Yarrowia lipolytica: one gene and its partner. The protein of the gene in region 2 binds, or shares a complex with, the protein of the main gene of each other region. Links are inferred from orthologs where the notes say so. Each region holds a gene or a part of one and is shown on either strand. Other genes may lie near its edges.

Region 1 (8,370 bases), on a different chromosome or scaffold from region 2:
TCCAACGGAAGGTGTCTCGTTGAGTGTGTGCTTTCCAGAGCTCCTCGATGTTGAATCGCTGGACGCTGGGGTTATTTAGAGCCATTTTGCTCATTTCAGTAAGAGATTCTCCAACACTGGACAGCTCTTCTTTGAGCTCTTTTCCTCCGTCGGGGAAGTATAGCGACGAGATGATATGGACGGCTCCAGATGGGTCGTAAGGAGTGAATGGAACCAGTTCGATCTCGACATGCTTGAAGCTCAACTTTTTGATCTTATCAAGGTACTCGTTGACAGCCCGAATGACAGGGGGATGGGGAGTAACGTAGCCGTCGTCAGCGTAGTAGCCCACTCTTAGCTTCTTCTTTTGAAATAGAGCTGGATTCCACATAGACCGTTCAGTGAAGGGGTCGTATCTCCAGACTTCTGCGTCCGACATGACCTTCATGAATAACTCCAGCAGCTTCGGAGATGAAGTCAAGGGCCCAATACATGCCTTGATCGAGTCTGCTCCATGCATAACATAATCACAGCCCGTGTTTGTAATTCTTCCTACAGACGGACGAAGACCATAGACACCACAGCAAGCAGCTGGACCTCGAATTGAGCCTCCAATGTCAGTTCCGAGACCCAAAACAGACGCTCCAAGACCGACGATGGCTCCTTCACCCGAGGATGAGCCTCCAGACGTGAGATCTCGGTTATAGGGGTTGTAAGTCTTTCCATGGAGAGGCGACTCTGATTCCAGCGACATGAGAAATTGGGGACCGGTATTCGACAGTAAGGGTTAGCTCCGGCTTTGTAGAGTACTTTAAGGATGATAGCATTGTCCGGAGTGATGTTGTTGATCTTGGAAGACACGGAAAAGTGGCAGGTTCGGCCTTTGAAGCCCACCATCTCCTTGACGGACACGGGAAGTCCATGTAGAGGACCCACGGGCTTTCCTGTGGATTTTAGATAGTCATCAAGTTTCTGAGCAGTTTCCAGTGCCTCTCGAGGAAGCAGCTCCGTCAGGCAGTTTGTGAGAGTCTGGGCAATAACAGCAGCTCTTAGGAACGCTCCTGCGACAGCCACAGCCGATACCTTGGCCTTAGCAAGCTGATCGAGCAGCTCGATTGGGTCCGAATTGATGATAGCTGCATCGTCATGGGCCAGCATCTCCTGGAACACGGGGATGGAGTTCTTGGGCAACTTTGCGGGAACTTCATGATGTCTCGAGTCCTCGGGTGGAGGAAACACTTTGTCCAGCTCTGCAATGGAATCGTCTCTGATCTTGAGGAACTTCTCTCTAGCAATTTCGAATGTGAGAACCATGGTGAAGGTTGCAATCAGGTTTTGTCGACGATAGTTGGCCAACACCGTCGATGCCACTCCAAGGCATTATATATTGGCTTTTGTTATCATACGGTATCTCCGCACTCGAGCCGCAGCGGGAGTTTAATATGCGACGCGCAAGGTGGGGGAAGACTAGAGGGTGGAGCGGCTTGGAACTCATATGAAGAGTTGAAACAGATAAGGAACGTTTAAATACCCCGTTACGCAACGGCTGCTTTTCATCCTATGTGGGTTTTCGGTCGATAATTGCCTACAATTGCTCTCTTCTTCTCGGAGGGGTGCTCTCATTCAGGAAACTTTCCACGCCCTTATCAGCCTACATGCGTCTGACACCCCCGCTCAACGAAAACGATATGTACGTAGATCCATGTTCCCCGGAGTTTAGATATAGGTGTTGCAGTGAATTTAGGGGGTGTGATATACAGGTATAAAAGGTGCCACCGCCCCCACCCCTGCTCCTATCCCCAGTACATACAGCTTCTCTGAGACTATATCAACTTCCATGTTCAATTAAATCGCCAATTATACTTCGGTAAATGTCTCAAGTAATTACTTAACAAATGACTCTCAAACTGCCTTCTTTTGTTATTCTTTCACAGCAAAGTTATAATTAAATGAATGTATATGCAGAAAAAAAAAAAAAAACTTTTGTCAGACGACAAACACATATAGAGACAATACTAGTCATGGGATGAGTTCGTTACCAGTCTGCAACACTTCCTGCTGTCTCATTTTTCAATCCGTAGGCGATAATACAAAATTCCAAGAAATTCCATCTATTTCCACCATTGCCACCCATGCAGGTCAGGCATCAAAACTCTGATCAGTTAGCGAGGGGAGATATTTGGGTGTTGGTATCGAAGCCTTCCGTAGTTCAAATCTGGTAATTGGCAACTTCAAAACGTCCATGCGACTCCTTAGACTTGATTCAAGTTTTCACCCACTCAATAGGATTCATATTAACGTATTTATTGACACTACCTTCTCCTTCCGGGTCACGTGCCATGAACCCAAAAAATATATTTTCAAAATTAGACTGCGATAAATCCAAGTTTTCCAGACAACTACAACACACACAATGTCTTCCGAATTCCAAGAACTAATCGAATTTCTGCACTCCGACCACCCTGCCGTCAAGCAGGTTGCTCTACAGTCCCTCGTGGGCTACTCACAGGGCCATGCCGAGCAGTTCAAGGCCAACGACTACCAGGGAGTCAAGGATCTGGTGGCCACCGTCATGCTGGGCACCCCCAGAGTCAATGTGGAGAACGCTCTGACCATTCTCATCAACCTATGCGATGACAGAGACATTCTCGACATGCTGGCGTCCAACTCCATGTTCGTAGCCATGATTGCCTGCGAGATTTGCGATCTCGAGAACAAGCAGGCCGATCTGTGCTGTATGCTGCTAGCCAACCTGGCCAAGGACGACCACATTGTGTCCATCTTCGACGCCACCAAGAAGCTCAAGAACACGGAGGTGTTCAAGTCGGAAAAGCTCATCGATTCGCTCATGGACTGCTTTGTCAAGGGCGCTACCGGCAAGCTCAACCTCTTCTCCAACTTCGACTACCTGGCCTTTTTCTTTGCCGATCTGTCGCGATTCCGACGAGGTCGAGACTACTTTGTCACTGAGCAGCCCTACGATGGTCTGTTCCCCATCCAGAAGCTGCTGCCCTTCACCGAGTTTGTGGACTCGCGAATCCGACGAGAAGGTGTTGCTTCTACAATCAAAAACTCGCTGTTTGACACCGACAAGCACTCCAAGTTTGTGCTTGACCCCGAAATCAACCTGCTGCCCTTCATCATGCTGCCCCTGGCGGGCCCTGAGGACCTAGAGGACCCCGAAGAGATCTTTGATCTGCCCGAAGAGCTGCAGCTGCTGACGCCCGACAAGCGACGAGAGGAGGATCTCGACATCATGTGCACTCATCTGGAGTCTCTGCTGCTGCTGACCACTTCGCGGGAGATGCGAGAGTACATGCGAACCAAATCCGTCTACCCTATTGTTCGAGAGCTGCATAAGAACCACGACGACCAGACCATCCAGGAGCGATGCGACCGAGTTGTGCAGATGCTCATGCGGGACGAGCCCAAGGAGGCTGGAGATGATGCCAAGGTGAAGGAGGTTGACTCTGATGATGAGGTTGTCGAGGTGATTTAATCATAAACGAAGCGAGTGATAATTGCCCGGAACACGAGCGGGGCGAATGGTCTGTTCGGAGGTTTTACATCTAATCATGTCACCAGATGGCGCAGATCGAACAGTTGTCCGCACCTCTGGTCCCACAATACACATCAACTGGAGCCAGGGCTCATATGTATAGAAGCAGTTAATGAAATGTATTTGTATGAATAATTGAGAGATGATAGAATGATGTGATTGTGGATAGTGGTTGGTGTTTCTGTGTGTCATCATTGCGCAGAGTGGAGTGTAATAATTACTACTGTATGACCATCGAGGAAGCTGCAGCGGTATATTCAATTAGTTGACTTCACTCAACAAACAACTGAACTAGACTAACAGAACAAGCACCACAAGTGTCGGCCAAACAGTGCCACTTTTTTTTACTAGAACCAAATTTGAAAAGAGCAGTATATTTTCCGCTGTCAAATTAATCATTTCCTATTATCTTCCAGCGACAATTTATTAGCGAAACCTGATTGTATCCAGCACTCCAACTACCCTACAAACCCTCGTGCATCGCGAACTCAATTAATACACGTCTGCCGAAATTACAGTAATCAAGTGCTAAAAAATCACGTCCAACACGACACATCACAGCACACACTAATATTACACAACATGAGTGAAGCCGGACCATCGAAAAAGCGAAAGGGAGAGCCCGAGTTCGAGCTGCCCTGGGTTGAAAAGTACAGACCCATGTATCTCGACGACGTTGTGGGTCATACAGAAACCGTTGAACGACTTAAGATCATGGCCAAGGACGGAAACATTCCCAACTTGTTGATTTCCGGTCTCCCCGGTATTGGAAAGACCACCTCCGTGCATTGTCTTGCGCGTACTCTTCTCGGTCCCCAGCTGTACAAAGACGCTGTTCTGGAGCTCAATGCTTCAGATGATCGAGGTATCGAGGTGGTTCGAGGTAAGATCAAGAACTTTGCCCAGAAGAAAGTGACCATGCCTCCTGGTAAACACAAGATCATCATTCTGGATGAGGCCGACAGTATGACTGCTGGTGCCCAAAATGCGCTCAAACGAACCATGGAGTTGTACTCTGATACTACTCGATTCGCCTTTGCCTGCAACCAGAGCAACAAAATCATTGAGGCCATTCAGTCGCGATGCGCCATTCTTCGATTTGGCCGACTCTCTAATGAACAGGTGCTCGAGCGACTGCTGCACATTGTCGAGGCTGAAAACGTGCAGTGCTCAGACGACGGCCTGTCTGCTCTCATTTTCTCGGCGGAGGGAGATATGCGTCAGGCGATCAATAACTTGCAGGGAACTGTGTCTGGATTCGGATTCGTCAACTCTTCCAACGTTTGGAAGGTGGTGGACTCCCCCCATCCCGTGGTCGTCAAATCCATGTTGGATGCCTGCAGCAAGGGTGAGGTGACCGAGGCATGCGAGTCGCTCAAGCAGCTGTGGACCAAGGGATACAGCGCCCAGGATATCATCTCCACAATGTTCCGAGTCACCAAGACACTGGAGGTGCCCGAGGCGCTACGGCTGGAGTACATTAAGGAGATTGGCTTCACTCACATGAGAATCCTCGAAGGAATCACCACATATCTGCAGTTAGCAGGCTGCGTCGCCAGATTGTGTGGTATTCAGGTCAAGTGAGAGCTGAAATCAAGTCCACACAAGGCGGCCGATATTAAAAAAAGTCTCCAGAAGACCTGTCTCAACCCGTAGACAGTAATCCGTATCTATAAAATGCATTATAAAACCGAAAAGTGTGCAAGAGGTAGCGGTCTATACATGCCTTGTACACTATACTTTCACAATTCATGGACTCAAGCGCCTAGAGTATTGTACATACAGTAGTAGAAGTACAGTACTCACACGCGCACATATCTAGCCACATCAGGTTCTCGCTGAATATTAGTGAGACATATCTGAGCTTCGAGACAGCAGAAAGAACTCTGACACCGATAATCCCAACATAGTGTCCCCTGACCGAACCTATAGAGACGCAGATATAGTCCTGACACGTTCTTGAGACGCGTACAAGCTACGTTAGCTACTGCTTTGTGCTTGCTATCTTACTCATTCTGGTCCGACAGCAACTCCCGGGCCAGCAACTAATGCAACTTCAACTAAATACATTTTAAATATACTCCGAGTGAGCGTGTTACCCACGAGCTTTTGGACGAACACTCTGGGTTCAGGTTGGTGGATTACGGCGTGATAACCGTGGGCTCACAGAGTAAGTGCTGCTCACGCAGTTCTCACTTTGGTAATGCGCTCACTTGTGTTCCCCTTGTTTACCACCGAATCAACAAGGTCATTGTGGCAAGGAAACCGACAAATCCAGCCGCCAGCAGCGTCTGGTAGGTCTTGAATTGTTTCTTGGTGACTCCATCGACCGAGAAATCAGGCACTCCCATGGCGTTGCAGAAGATGTGGACGCACACGGGGGGCCAGACGGACTGGAAGCGCACGTAGAGCCAGGCGGCGTACCAGCCGAAGAGCGTGGTGAAGACGAGCTGCACGGCGCACTGCAGCGCAATGACCATGACCTTGTTCTTCCCTTTACTGCCCATGCTGACGTAAAGCTCGTAGCCGTGGTGCAGATGAGCGACACCAAAATACAGCGGCGTGACGAACACGGACGCCAGAGGCGAGTAGCCCGCAGCCTTGTGCACGGACATGATGCAAGCTCGGAACACGAGTTCCTCGGTGATGGGTCCCACAATGTAGTTTCGGATGCCCCACACGGTCTTGAGCTCGCGTTTGGCCAGGTGGAAGCCCAGCGGGAGCCCGTTTTCCAGGTAGATGCGCTGGTACAGCGGGCCAGCAAACAGTATCGCCACGTGGATCAGAGCCAGCACCGAGGTAGGCACGGTGCGTGTGAAGAAGTGCGGGCCCAGCTCAATGTCCATGAACTTGATGGTCTCGGACCACGTGACAATCTGCGGCTTGAGCTGCCATTGCAGCACGAGCGGTGTGATTACCAGCACGTCCACGAGCGTGCCGAGCGATATAATCTGCATGCGTTTTTTGACCACCACCTCGTCGTCTCTTCGGACGAGCTTGGAGGGCCGGGTGGATTTGCTGAGATACAGAGAGCCCACGTAGAGCGCCGTGATCAGGTGCGAGAACGACGCCGCCACCAACCAGTCTGCAAACGTCATTGTCGAGAGATGGGTTGCCGTGGTGTCTGTGCGTTTTCCGAGCGTTAGCGAAACTTGGAGATAGTAGTAGGCGGCTGCATGGTGAGTTTATTATGTTCCATCCCAGCCCAACCAAGAGTCATTGACCGGTCCCAAGCAGGATGAGGCAGTCCATGCATGCCCTAAACGGGGTGCAATTGACTGAAGGTCTTTGGTCTGGCGACCATGCACGTGACCGCCCACCTGCCAAGCCTATCTGTGTGGCGACTGGCCCATGACCTGTCTCAATTACTGCTACGGGTCGTACTCATACTTGTCTCTTCCGGCCTCTCCTCGCCCTCCATTTTTCCGTGGCTACCTTATTCGGTGAAAAACGTTGGCTTGTCTTTAAACTCCGTAGACTAAAATGACCGCAACTGTAGACTGTACGAATGGCGGTACTCTAACAACTAGCCCGTGGCAAGCGGGAGCTTGGGAGGGGTATTCGTCCTTTATATACCTACAGATCCTTGCGGGGTAGAGCGGGGTCTTCGCCACCACCACCTCCACCAACCCATCTGAGACATACGACTATTCTGGAACAGATTGCTGGAACCAGCGCGCATACATACGATAGTCGGCTATGTACACTAACTCAATCTGCACTTGCCATTAGGCAGGGACTGGCTGACAACGGCGCAAGCGGGATTGGAGAATGAGGGGTAAAGGGTGGACGTGGAGTAAGTGGGTGCAGATTGCGGAGGTGGTGGGGGGTCTCGTACATCCGAAGTATGACTTCTCGCCACACTCGGTTGACGTACATTTATTTGTGGCGGCGCGCTTAGTGGTTTCAGGTTCCTGCCAGCGCGCACCGGGAAGCAACGGCGACGGTTAACCGAGGCTCAGGTTGCGGTCTGTGGTTTACGCTTGGCGGAGGAACCATAAGGGTACTTTTGAGACTGAGTCCAGTCTGTCATTGGAAAGCGGTACATAACAAGCATGCTGCCTCGTTGCGGGGATGGCAACGATTAAGCAACCCAGTTGTGGGCGAGCGCACTCAATTGGTCCAATAACACCTGTTTATTGAGCCTGCTGCTGTACATCGTACACTTGACCCCTGGCAAGTATAACCTTGAGTAGGTCGCTAGAGTTTACTTGGGCTTGGAGTTGGAGTGAAAACTGGTGCAGAAGCGGGTATATATATTCATAGTACTCGTACCAGTACACGCTGTGGCAAAGCCAATCACTCTAACACAAAAGACAATTGGTTCAGTTCAGTTTTTCTCGAAAGAAACCACCTGGACAGGCTCTGATAACCCTGTCACCGTTTCCATATATCTTCAGACCCTTGTTGCATACATTGATGCTGGCATGCAACCATATTACCAGAGTGAAAGTGTATCGGTAGAAGTACGAGTCCCGGTATATGTAGTGCTCGTACTCATTTGGTACAGCACTTGTATCGTGCTTGTCGATGGGAAACAATGACAAAACTGCAACACTCTTTCAAGCATTCTGGCATCATGGTTCTAAGTCCTGCAGCACACAGTTCATGACCTCTCTCCATTGTGGAATTGGGAGGTGTGGTACAGTCTGAAAAACAACGTGATTACGTGGGTTCAAGGAGTGCCTTACGGTCATCACAAAAGTGCACTTATACCGTCAAATAAAATGGACAAAATTTCCGCTTCCATCCATTAAAACTAACTGGAACAATATTTCACCTCCAACTACCATGATTACTCTCCATTGGGTCATTGGTCCTTTCATAGACTC
Region 2 (10,148 bases):
AGATGTATAATCTCCATCTCCATTGTTTGTTTGGTCGTGTGAGCAATATAATAGGGTTAGGGTTAGGGTTCGTTTATATGCTCGCGTGCGCACTCTAACTTAAAATTGAAGATGAACTACAGCTCTTAGAAATTTAACCAGGACTCGTAATTATCCATGACTAGTACCAAAGGGTTCCCCGGGACTCAAAAGTACTATTAATCTGTTTAAAATCCCGTTTTGGCCAATATTTACCCGTTTTTACCCATTCTCCGTCCCATATACATGATGCATTAAACATGCATTGTGCTGCAGAGATGCACCGCATTGCACCCGCAGGTAGACAGCCTCAAGCCGGTACGGCTCATGTCACGTGGACAGTCCGAGCCGCGAATTATTATTCTTGTGCAGCCGCACATTACCTTGCATGTGACTGGTCAATTCGACTTGTCAGTCATATGACTCAATTTGGGGCATATTTACCTTGATGTTTTTTTTTATATATAATAATAATTTTAAATAATTTAAATACTTAATAGTATAATTCGGTGGAAATTTATTTGTTTTTTCTCTCTTCTAAATTTAACTTGCAAACTAAGCCAAGGTTAAAATAGCCGCTTGTTTTTTGGGGTGTTTTTTTTTAGGACTCCGAAGAAAGATAAAGGGAGGAATAAGTCAGGAAAATGGAAGAGTGCGTTTTGTTGATCTCGTCATTCCGATTCCAACAGCATCTCTCTTTTTCTTGTAGCCCCAATTTGCGGCATATTTTGAGGTCTGTATTTTTTCCAGCAAACTTTCGGCCGGGTAATTTCAAGGGGAAGAGGGGGGAGGTGAAAAGATGCCGCCGAAATTTGCTCAATACAAGAGCTAGAGAGACGGACGGTTGTGTGTGGCGGATGAAACACTCACTGCAACTGGTTGGGTCACGTGACTGGACCGGGATCTGCCTGATGTCTCCTCATGTGACCTGTTTCTGCCGTCGTCTCGGACTCTTCTGACTGCCCTGATCGTCTGGCAGCATGGTTCATCGCATCTCATCTCATCAAACAGGCTTAGACTTGCTCGAGCGAGCGTCAGTTGGGATTTGGATTGCGTGCGCATTGCCGAGAAAGCAGGGGAAAGAATGCTGCCCCTCTTGGCGCCAAGCCGGGAGGTCTTAAAGGTGGATTTGCGAAAAAATGCAAATTGCGACACATTTTTGTGAGAGTGTATGGGGATATTTTGATATGGTTGAGCCCGTGAGATGGGGACGAATCCAACGATACCATTAATGAAACTCCCCGATATCTGCAGCAAAAGTTGGAAATTTCGATGCAATTCTCGTCTCTTTCTCTTTTTATAATCTGAGGCTGTGTTTTGAAGGTTGAGAAGACGCTCTTGGTATGAGTGAGACCGTCATGTTGCGGAGAATCCAATTCCGTTGCTATTTCAGTCGCCAGGGCACTGCATCGAGTGTTGGCTTGTTTCGATCCTTCATGCTTGCTATCATAATACGTATAGTACATACATAGCCGACAGAGATGCATGTTTGTTCCGTTTCGATACTGACGTTCTCTTTGACTTAGACCTCGATTGTGTCGATGACGTATGATCGTCGGTACAAATCGAGTACAAGTACTGTACAGATGCTGTACTCGAACTTGTAGTTGGTGGTTGTTTTAGTTGGTATTCCGGCAGGTCTCTGAAGGTCGAAATGGGTATCATTGGGAAGCCGGAGAGGCGGTTACTGCGAGACGGTTGTTGCGAGACGGTTATATTTCGGAAATACTCTCCGTCAAGTAGTGCTGGTATTGCGGATATTGCGGAGTTGGTTGCATTCTTGATGCTGACTAATATGGTCGACTGAATTTCGACTTTGGTGAAACTTTGAAACAGAGATAATATGGAATAAATTGGCATCAATGGAATGCTGTGGAGTCGAAGAATCTACTGGTGCAGCTCCGGCATCTCTGGCACTACTGTGACACGAGTTATGAGTAATTTCGTATCCTGAAAATATTTTAGTCGCCAACAATGTTGTAGTCTAAAAAGTAACCGTTGTTGGAGCTTTTATAACTATTTAGTTGAAAAATCAACCTCCCAACTAACTCTTCCTCTTACATTTCACTTGTTCCAGATACCAGAGAGAATAATACGGAAAGCAACTAATATAGTGACACAGACACCGCTTCCGATACCGCCACTGATACCTCTCCTTTTCCACCTCTTCTGCGTCACCATCTGTGTCCTTTCTGTCGGAACACAGGCACCGCCCTACACAGCTCGACTCTCGTCGCGTCATCATATTAAGGATTGAACAGGGGCTCAATCGCAGTGGCAAAATGCCGTGACCTAATCTGCTATTGTCGGCCGGCCACTCTGGTGGGCAGCGTGCCAGGCATGGACGGAATCGTGCTGTTAGCCGGGAGATCTGTTGTTGCTGCTGGTTCAGCACTGGTTCTGACCCTGACTCTGGTTCTGACCCTGGAGCTTCATCTTCATGTCTCCAGGGCTAGCCCCAGCGGCATCTTCATCCGCCACCCACAGCTCCGCTACCCTTCAACCAGACTCTTCCACCAGTCACGGCTTCTGTCGGCGACTTCGGGATATGGTACGTACACACTGCTGGCACAATATCTAATGACAGAGTCATAATCCCCTCTTATTGACACAGCATGGTGACCTGAAACCAACTGGCACGCCACTCACCGTTCCGCACATGGTTTCCACCCGTGAAAGCTGTCATGAAACTTCCTGGCTCACCTGGCTCGAATCCAAGCGGCATTGCCCCCGCAGACAGGTCTCCCAGGGTGCATGTACATTTCTGAGTCGATTGTTGTCTACTCTGAACCTCTGACCATAATTCTAGAGTCACCCTGTTGAGATCTTCCGACCCCATATGGCCCAGACTTTGTTCTCCTCTCAGGCCGAGCATTTGGCATTAAGAACTCCATGGGGCGCAACAAAGACTGTCATCAGTTCGCATTGAGGGCGTGTGTAGTTCTACTTCTGGCTCGGACAGTGTGACCATGCCCCAATCAGTCCTAAAGTCACCACATTCCAAAACTCGATCGCAGTCATTCCTGCCAAGCAAAGCCGTGGCTGTCCACAACAGAAGTTTGTCCTACTTGGCCTTGCTACGCGACCATGTACACTGTATACATTTGTATTCATTGTATCTTACTCCATCCACAACTGCTCCCAGGTGAGGTCCCGCCGGACAGCGTTGGAGTAGCCCTCAAAGTACGACACCCACGTGTTCAGCGTGTCTTGTTGCTCCTTGGCCTCGTTGCGGACCACCTGCGACGGCGTGATCTCGACCGTTTCCTTGATAAAGAAGTCCAGCAGGGTGGACGACTTGGATGGCTTTTTTGCCGTTGACGAAGATGGCGGGGGCCCGCCGCGCGTCCTCGGATCCGGGTCTCGTGCCAGATCATGTGCCGCCACGTGTCTCTTGTTGGGTTGCACCTGGGAAAATTCGCCTGGCCGCTTGAGGGTCGGGTCCGGGGTGAGGATCTTGTAAAGGGACTCGAGGAACACGGAGTTTGTGTCCCGGGGCTGGCCATCCGGGGCACGTGACAGGTCGCACACCGGCGGCACAAACACGTACACGTCTTCCCTCTTGGAGGAGATTTCATTGTACACGTTCTCCTTCTTGAGGGACACTCCCAGGGAGGTGAGAGATTCTGCGAGAGACGCCATTTGTTCCGGGGTGACTCCTCTCTGTTGTCGGGTCATAGTGTCCAGGAACATTCCCAGATCATCTAGCAGCGTTTCTTTGTTGAGATACCGCCTTAGTTCGACGGGAATGTTGCTGTAGATGTCGTTGAGACGCAGCTTTTGGGTCTGAGTCTGGTTGGTGAGGGAGTAGTCGGTTTCGACGTTGGTCACGTGGTTTTTGGTGGTGGATCCAAACATCAGCGAGAAGGCCGCGAGCGTATACGGGTGGTAACTGTCGCGGGACCCCAGCGTGTTGGCGAGGTCGTACAGGTGGTACCAGTCATCGAGTTTGGCAATGTTGGTGAGTTGGGTGAGGTTGCCTGCTCCCGAAAGGCACGTGATGTAGGCTGAGAAGGCTCCAAACACAAGTTTATTCCATTCTCCGCATCGCAGCGATCTCTGGCACAAGTTTTCCACGTGGTTAGCCCGGTCTTTGCCCACGGGCACGTGACTGAAGAGTGAACTGACAATGTTGTTCCACAGCGCCGACTTGTCCACCAGATTGGCCGTGTCGGCCTCGGGGGTTCCAAACTGCAGAATGTTGATGGCTTGTCGAATGTCTCCGTCGGTGGAGTTGCAGATGTCTGCCAGGAATCTGTTTTGTTTGGAGGTGAGTTTTTGCAGCTTCATCTCCGTTCGAAACACGTTTTGCACGATTCGCAGCGATTGAGCTGGCGACAGTCGGCCGTAGTTGACGATTCGACAATGCGGCCGGAGTTTGTACAGCAACCCGTGGAGGTTGTTTGCGATGCAGATGATGGGTCGGCTGATGAGGGTGTTGAGTTTGTCTTTGGCGCTGGTCTTTTTATGTCTGTTTTTCCGCTCATGCCATAACTCCTCCTTTTCGTCGCGCTGCACGAGCTTGACCAACTTGTCGATGAAGATTGGGTCCGCTCCGTCAATCTCGTCGAGAATCACGCAGTTAGGACGGTCTTTGGAAGTGACGGAGTGGGTTCTCATGGGACCCAAAACGCCCCGTCGGAACGCTTCGCTGCCACGGTCGTCAGACGCGTTCATCTCCAGCGTGTTGAACCCCAAATTCCGGGCCAAAACCCCACAGGCGGTGGTTTTTCCGGTTCCGGGCTCGCCGTGCACAAGCAGGATCCGCTTCTGGGGGCGGTCACGTGCCTCGCGCTCCTCGTAGACCCCACGTGATCCTGCGTGGACAGCATCTTCGATTCGTCCGCTTTTTTTAAGCCATTTTTCCCGCTGCTTGGCTTTGAATTGCACCGCCTGCGACGGAGTCTGGAAAATGAAGGAGTTCCATTCACTCAGCCAGTACAAAATGTCCTTGTGGCGGTCGGAATGGCCGTTCAGATCCAGCAGCTTTTGCGGCCGCAGTTTTTCCACCCAGAGGTGGCCGTCCCGTGACCCAATTCCAGACACGAGCAGACCCGCACGATGTCTCGAATCGCTGAATGCGTCTGCCGGAATTTTGGACGTATCGCAAGATGCCGTTTTCGGGCGGGTATTTCCGGTATCTCCAGCGGTAGGATTTGGCGTATTGCAAGTTTCGCTGCTGTCGAATTTTTGGCCCACCAGCTTCTGTCTGATGCCGCTCACATCGATTCCGTAGTGGTTCTTCAGCGATTCCTCCTCCTGTTGCATTGTTCGGAGCCGGGTCGTTTTGATGTACTTTTTCGCTCGCGAAAGGGTCATTCCGGAGTAGAGCGTGATGTATCGGGTGGGCGAAGTGCGGTCACGTGGCATATCACGTGACGGAGCGGCGGAGGCGGCAGAAGCTGGCAAGTCTTTGGGTTCGTTGGCTCTCAACATTTCCGCAATGAAGTCATCTTCCTCCGCCGCCGGCGACGGGAAGCGCGTCATGTGATTATCCAGGTCGCACATCTGGGTCACGTGGTTGGTCATGGGATCGCTGGTCGGTTCTACCTCCTCACCTCCCCGCTCCCCCTCCCCCTCATCCTCTTCGGCAGACATGGATAGATCAGAACCTTCGGAAAGCTCCATATCGGACTCGTCACGTGGAAGTTCACGTGACCGCGTTCCAACGCGCTGCAGCTCGTCCAGTGCGCTCCCGGACCCAAACAATCCTCCTCCCCAGTCTAGAGACATGGTGTTCAAAGGTGTGTCGAAGTGTCGAAAAGTGCTTAAAAAGTGCGTAAAAATGTGTTTTGGGCGCTCGGTTGGGTTGTCACGTGTCACGTGAGTGTTTTGTGGCGGTGCAGCAGCGGTTTTGAAGGTGTAGAGGCGTCCTGTAAAAGCGTCCTGTAGAGGTGTATCAGTGGTTGTAATTTGAAACGCGAAATTTCAATTAACGTAGAAGCGCGTTTTAGGTTGATGTTAGGGTTGGTTGGGTTGGGGTTCGTGGATCAGTGGATACAAAATACAAATACTTACAGTGTTACCACAATATGTTACAATAGTGGTTATAAATTTATTTTAAAGAATTCAATATAATAAAAAATTAATTAACATCCACTGAACAGCAACGATTAAGTATGCTCGTGTTATTCACTCACCAAATCACCCCCAAAACGCTTGAAACGTCCTTGGATGCATTTTACTTATTTATATTGTATTTTTATTTTTTATTTTATTTTTTATTTTTTATTAATTTATTAATTATTTATTTTTCCAGAACAAAAAAAAACACAAACAGATGTTCTTGTTTAGGTGCTGTTAATATTCTAACAAAGGTCTCAACAAAAATACCTGCTTGCAATTTTATGACCATCTCCAGAATGAAATTCTGTTGATGCCAAAATAACCACAATTTAGGATCAGTTAGAAACTCATTTATTCTGTATCTTCATGTATCGAAATATATTCTATTCAATTTATGGAACATGGAAATGCGACCTCAAGCCGGTTTTTTGATTTAACAATTCTTAACTATTCACTTGGCAATCCCATCAACTGACAGACTGGAGACAGCAGCCAAACACGGTGGGTGTTTGAGTATAGAAAGCAATTTTTGATAGTATCGATCGGTAAGTTGAGGTCCAGATAATACAGCGGTTCTTGTAAATATCGATATTCGGTATTTTATGGATGTTTTTAAACAGAGAGACGAGGAGATTTCTCATCAAAAGCTCAACATCGTTAACTGTTCTAATTCAGTTACTTGACAGTTTATAGGGAAAAATAAAAGAAGAAAAAAAAACACTGACTCCAGGACGTTCTGTGATGTGGAATTGAGCTTTTTTTTTTTTTTTTTTTTTTTTTTCACGTAATGAATATAACGTGAGTGGAAATTGTCCATTCAAAATAATTCAAACAAAATCGTCTGGAATTGACAGACTTGACGCAACTGACTGACTGAAAAGTCTGTCAGTTTTATACATTTTCACGTCAGACAGACTTATCAATTTCACATAAACCTGTTTATGGCCGTTAAATATATCATTTTACTCGCTATCATCTCCACATTCCAACGGTACCACTAAATAATCTATATCTCTTGGTTCTATGGTGTTGTGACGGAACGGGTTTAAAAACGCACTGGTGAGAAACATACCACCCCAGAAATAACTTCTGGTGCTCTCGTGAACCTACCAAGGTTTCACTGAGTGTCTCAGGGGTGCGAACAGGTACAGTATTCAATACCAGGGTCTGGTACACTGTAGTATAAGATCTGACTGGTCGAATTGCACTGTACAACCACTATAAAGTTGATTTGTTTTTTTTTTTCTTCTCTTCTTACACTCCACTTTATGACAGCTCGGTAAGTGTTGTCAGTGACACAAAAGGAATGTGAGGGCGCAGCGCGTTAGGTGGACTCCGGAAACTCTCTTCTTTTGCTGCTGATTGGAATGCCGTCTACGTGCTACGTGTACTGGGCGGAGACTGCGTAATTACTACATGGACTGTGTGGTATTGACTACATGGAATGCGCAGTGACTAATTTGGCCTTGTGATGACTACATTAACTGTGGATTGTCACTTCAGACTAGAGTGTCTACTTCTCTTCCTGGCGGTAGGTACGAGTGCCACCGCCACGACCAGCGATATTGAGCAAATGATTGAGCAGAGCTGGTTGAGCGATATGGCTATTTGCTGTTGTCTTATCGTTGATGCTTGTCCTGAGTGAGTTGCTCCGACTCAACGACTGCATCTCGTTCACGGCTGATCCTGTGACTTGTTGCACTTTTCAATGGTTGCAGCGTTCGAGGTTTAGTGGGTGCGGCGTCTATGGTTCGCGCAGTCGACGGCTGTCTGAAGACATCAATTGTGGTAGTGGCTGTGGCTGGAACGAGTGATTTGTTTCTGATCAGGGGTTTACAGAAGCAATCTCTCAGATGTCGGTCTTTTGCAGATCTACAACCTCTGTCGATGGTGTCTAGATTCCCCTGGCACGTGTTCCAGGGTCGGACCGAGGATCAGCGCCCCCTAGTTCGTTGCAGGTTGTCAGAACGACTTAAACTGCTGGTCTTCATGAACCCGGACGTGAGTCACGTGGAGTCTTTTTGGAGTTCATTTCTTGACTCTGGGATGAGTCATTATTGACCGTATCGTTCGCGGCCTTGGTCCTGGCATTCGGTTGTTCTTCCCCTTGGCAGCGAGGAGTGCATCTTCTTGAAGTCAGGAGCCCACAGCTGGTCTTCTACAACATTCCCTACGGCGCTGTCGCAGGGGAGTTGAGTCCGGCACTCCTGCGGCAGCTTGAGAAGAACAGTGGCTCCTCGCACCCGCGTTCACAACCATCTCTAGTTTGTACAAATGATGTGCATACTCAGGTTGTGGGAGAGATGTGACATTTTCCCAAGAGTGTAGGGGGAGCATCCAGGCTCTTGTCTGAGTGGGTGTTTCCCAGATCAGGGAAAGTGCTGCTCTATTCGGCAGATTTGACTTACTAGCGCTTGTCTCGCGCAGGTTGTAATTCGGGAGTAATATTTGGCAGTCGAGTTGTCAGTCTGGTTGTCAGTCTGGGTGTCAGTTTTGGGACGCTGGCTAGAACTTCCTGTCTCAGCAGATTGACTTCTGCCACTCACCTCCGCTTTGTGTTTCCTGGCGAGATCTGTATGCTCAGATTGTCTCACTAAGAGGAATACAAATGCCGCATGTCACCTTTGACCAGCCGTATCTGAGCAAGTGATGGGTTGGGTGTGAACGCGGTGGATTGGCGGTGGATTGAACCTGGATGGATCCTCTAGCGGTGGATCCTCGGCGGACTCTCTAGCGGCAGGTCCTCTAGTGGTGGACCCTATAGCTGTTGGCAGAGCTCTTATTTGCTGCCAAATCACCACCCTAGATGGTTTGGGTCCACTTTTCATTTTGTGAAACTGCCCAGTTGAGGTCGACTTGGTACAACTCTCAATCAGGGTTACACAGTGTCAACACAGCATAATCAATGGCAGCGTCAATAGGCAAATAAGTGCAAGTAACTGCATGCTCACTCAGTAACTTTTTTTAGTTCAGAGTTGCTCAGAACTAGTTTTGTAATAATACATTGTTATTTTTTTGGTTTTTTTTCGTTTTTTTACAATTTTTCGGTCGTTTGGTCGTTTGGACAATATACCAACTATACAACGAAGAGTATATATAAATATATATATAAATAATAAAATGTCACGTGCGTTAATTGTTACTCTCTGATCCACGTGACAGTCTCTAGAGGAGCTCCGTTTGTTTAGTTTCTCTTGTTCGATTTTACGGGTATTTGTTTCGGATTTATCAGCCAACCTTGCAGCCGCTCCAGAGGACCAAAATGGGAGAAAATCAATAAACATTTCTACAGTTGTATTCTGCGCAATCGGTGCCCACTTTTCGTCAGGTCCACTTTTCGATACCTCTTTTTGTCCAGGGTTTGGTCAGGGTTTTGGCATGTTTTACTGGTTGCTTTTTTTTGCGCGGCACGGTCCAAAAACTGGTCCGAACGGCTGAAAAAATAGCTCAATGGGGGAGAAGGTTTTTAAAAGCGGTTTTTGAGCGTACGGCAAATGTATTTGTCAAGTTTGAGAAGTCCTGGTGTCGCTTCATCGAGTTTTATGGACGTGATAATGTTTGCAGAGGGGGAGTAGATAGATAGATAGGGAATAAGAGATTCTAAGAAGTTGGATAGTTCAATAGTGGGGTTTATTGGGTGCAAGACAGACCCTGGTGAACTTCCAGGGTGAACTTCCAGGGTCGATATCTTTGCTGGTTCAAATTCTGTAGAGTATATTGCAGATACATTATGTTGCAATCTGACCTCGTCTAACTTGGTGTGGGGGGATTCTAGGATGATGAGGAGTTCGATGGGCCATTTATTGGTCTCTATTTGCGTATTTATTCAAGTACCCGCTTCTATATCTCTGGAATGGGGCGTTTTTAGGCGTTTTTGGGCACTTGTGAGCGTCTTGGAAACTTTTGGACGTTTTGGGCACTTTCGAAAGTCGTTGATGGAGTCGAGAAATACCCCAGTGGTTATAGAGCAATGTTGGGACTTTTGAAGGGAAGAAAAATGCGTTTTACGGGGAAAGAGATCATTACTGAGGGTATTATTGGTGATTAAATAGGCTAGATATTGA

The links. Proteins that work in one complex are often made in the same cells at the same time.
Region 1: the proteins of YALI1_D31568g (region 2) and YALI1_F10688g are in contact, whole or in part, in a cryo-EM structure (PDB 8TW8), measured with the Saccharomyces cerevisiae proteins. The link is inferred for Yarrowia lipolytica from reciprocal best matches to the Saccharomyces cerevisiae genes CTF18 and RFC4. Residues at the interface, in NP_013795.1 of Saccharomyces cerevisiae: Asp394, Ser395, Lys416, Phe419, Leu428, Trp462, Phe465, Leu468, Met469, His476, Glu479, Leu480, Arg482, Tyr483, Leu486, Gln493; in NP_014547.1 of Saccharomyces cerevisiae: Asn148, Glu152, Gln155, Ser156, Val267, Phe271, Ala278, Gln279, Val280, Lys281, Glu282, Ser283, Arg285, Leu286, Ile289, Lys290, Ile292, Gly293, His296, Met297, Leu300.

Annotation. Positions count from the first base shown.
Region 1 is NC_090775.1:1,064,759-1,073,128, forward strand, and holds YALI1_F10688g (uncharacterized protein), read left to right. Parts: upstream 1-4,120; coding exon 4,121-5,122; downstream 5,123-8,370. Other genes in the region: YALI1_F10652g (uncharacterized protein), read right to left, coding at 1-499; YALI1_F10660g (uncharacterized protein), read right to left, coding at 532-1,293; YALI1_F10671g (uncharacterized protein), read left to right, coding at 2,393-3,478; YALI1_F10713g (uncharacterized protein), read right to left, coding at 5,767-6,636. UniProt on the Saccharomyces cerevisiae protein: Component of ATP-dependent clamp loader (RFC and RFC-like) complexes for DNA clamps, such as the POL30/PCNA homotrimer and the checkpoint clamp DDC1:MEC3:RAD17 complex.
Region 2 is NC_090773.1:3,151,035-3,161,182, forward strand, and holds YALI1_D31568g (uncharacterized protein), read right to left. Parts: upstream 5,752-10,148; coding exon 3,139-5,751; downstream 1-3,138. Other genes in the region: YALI1_D31526g (uncharacterized protein), read right to left, coding at 1,053-1,505. UniProt on the Saccharomyces cerevisiae protein: Essential for the fidelity of chromosome transmission. Required for the DNA replication block checkpoint.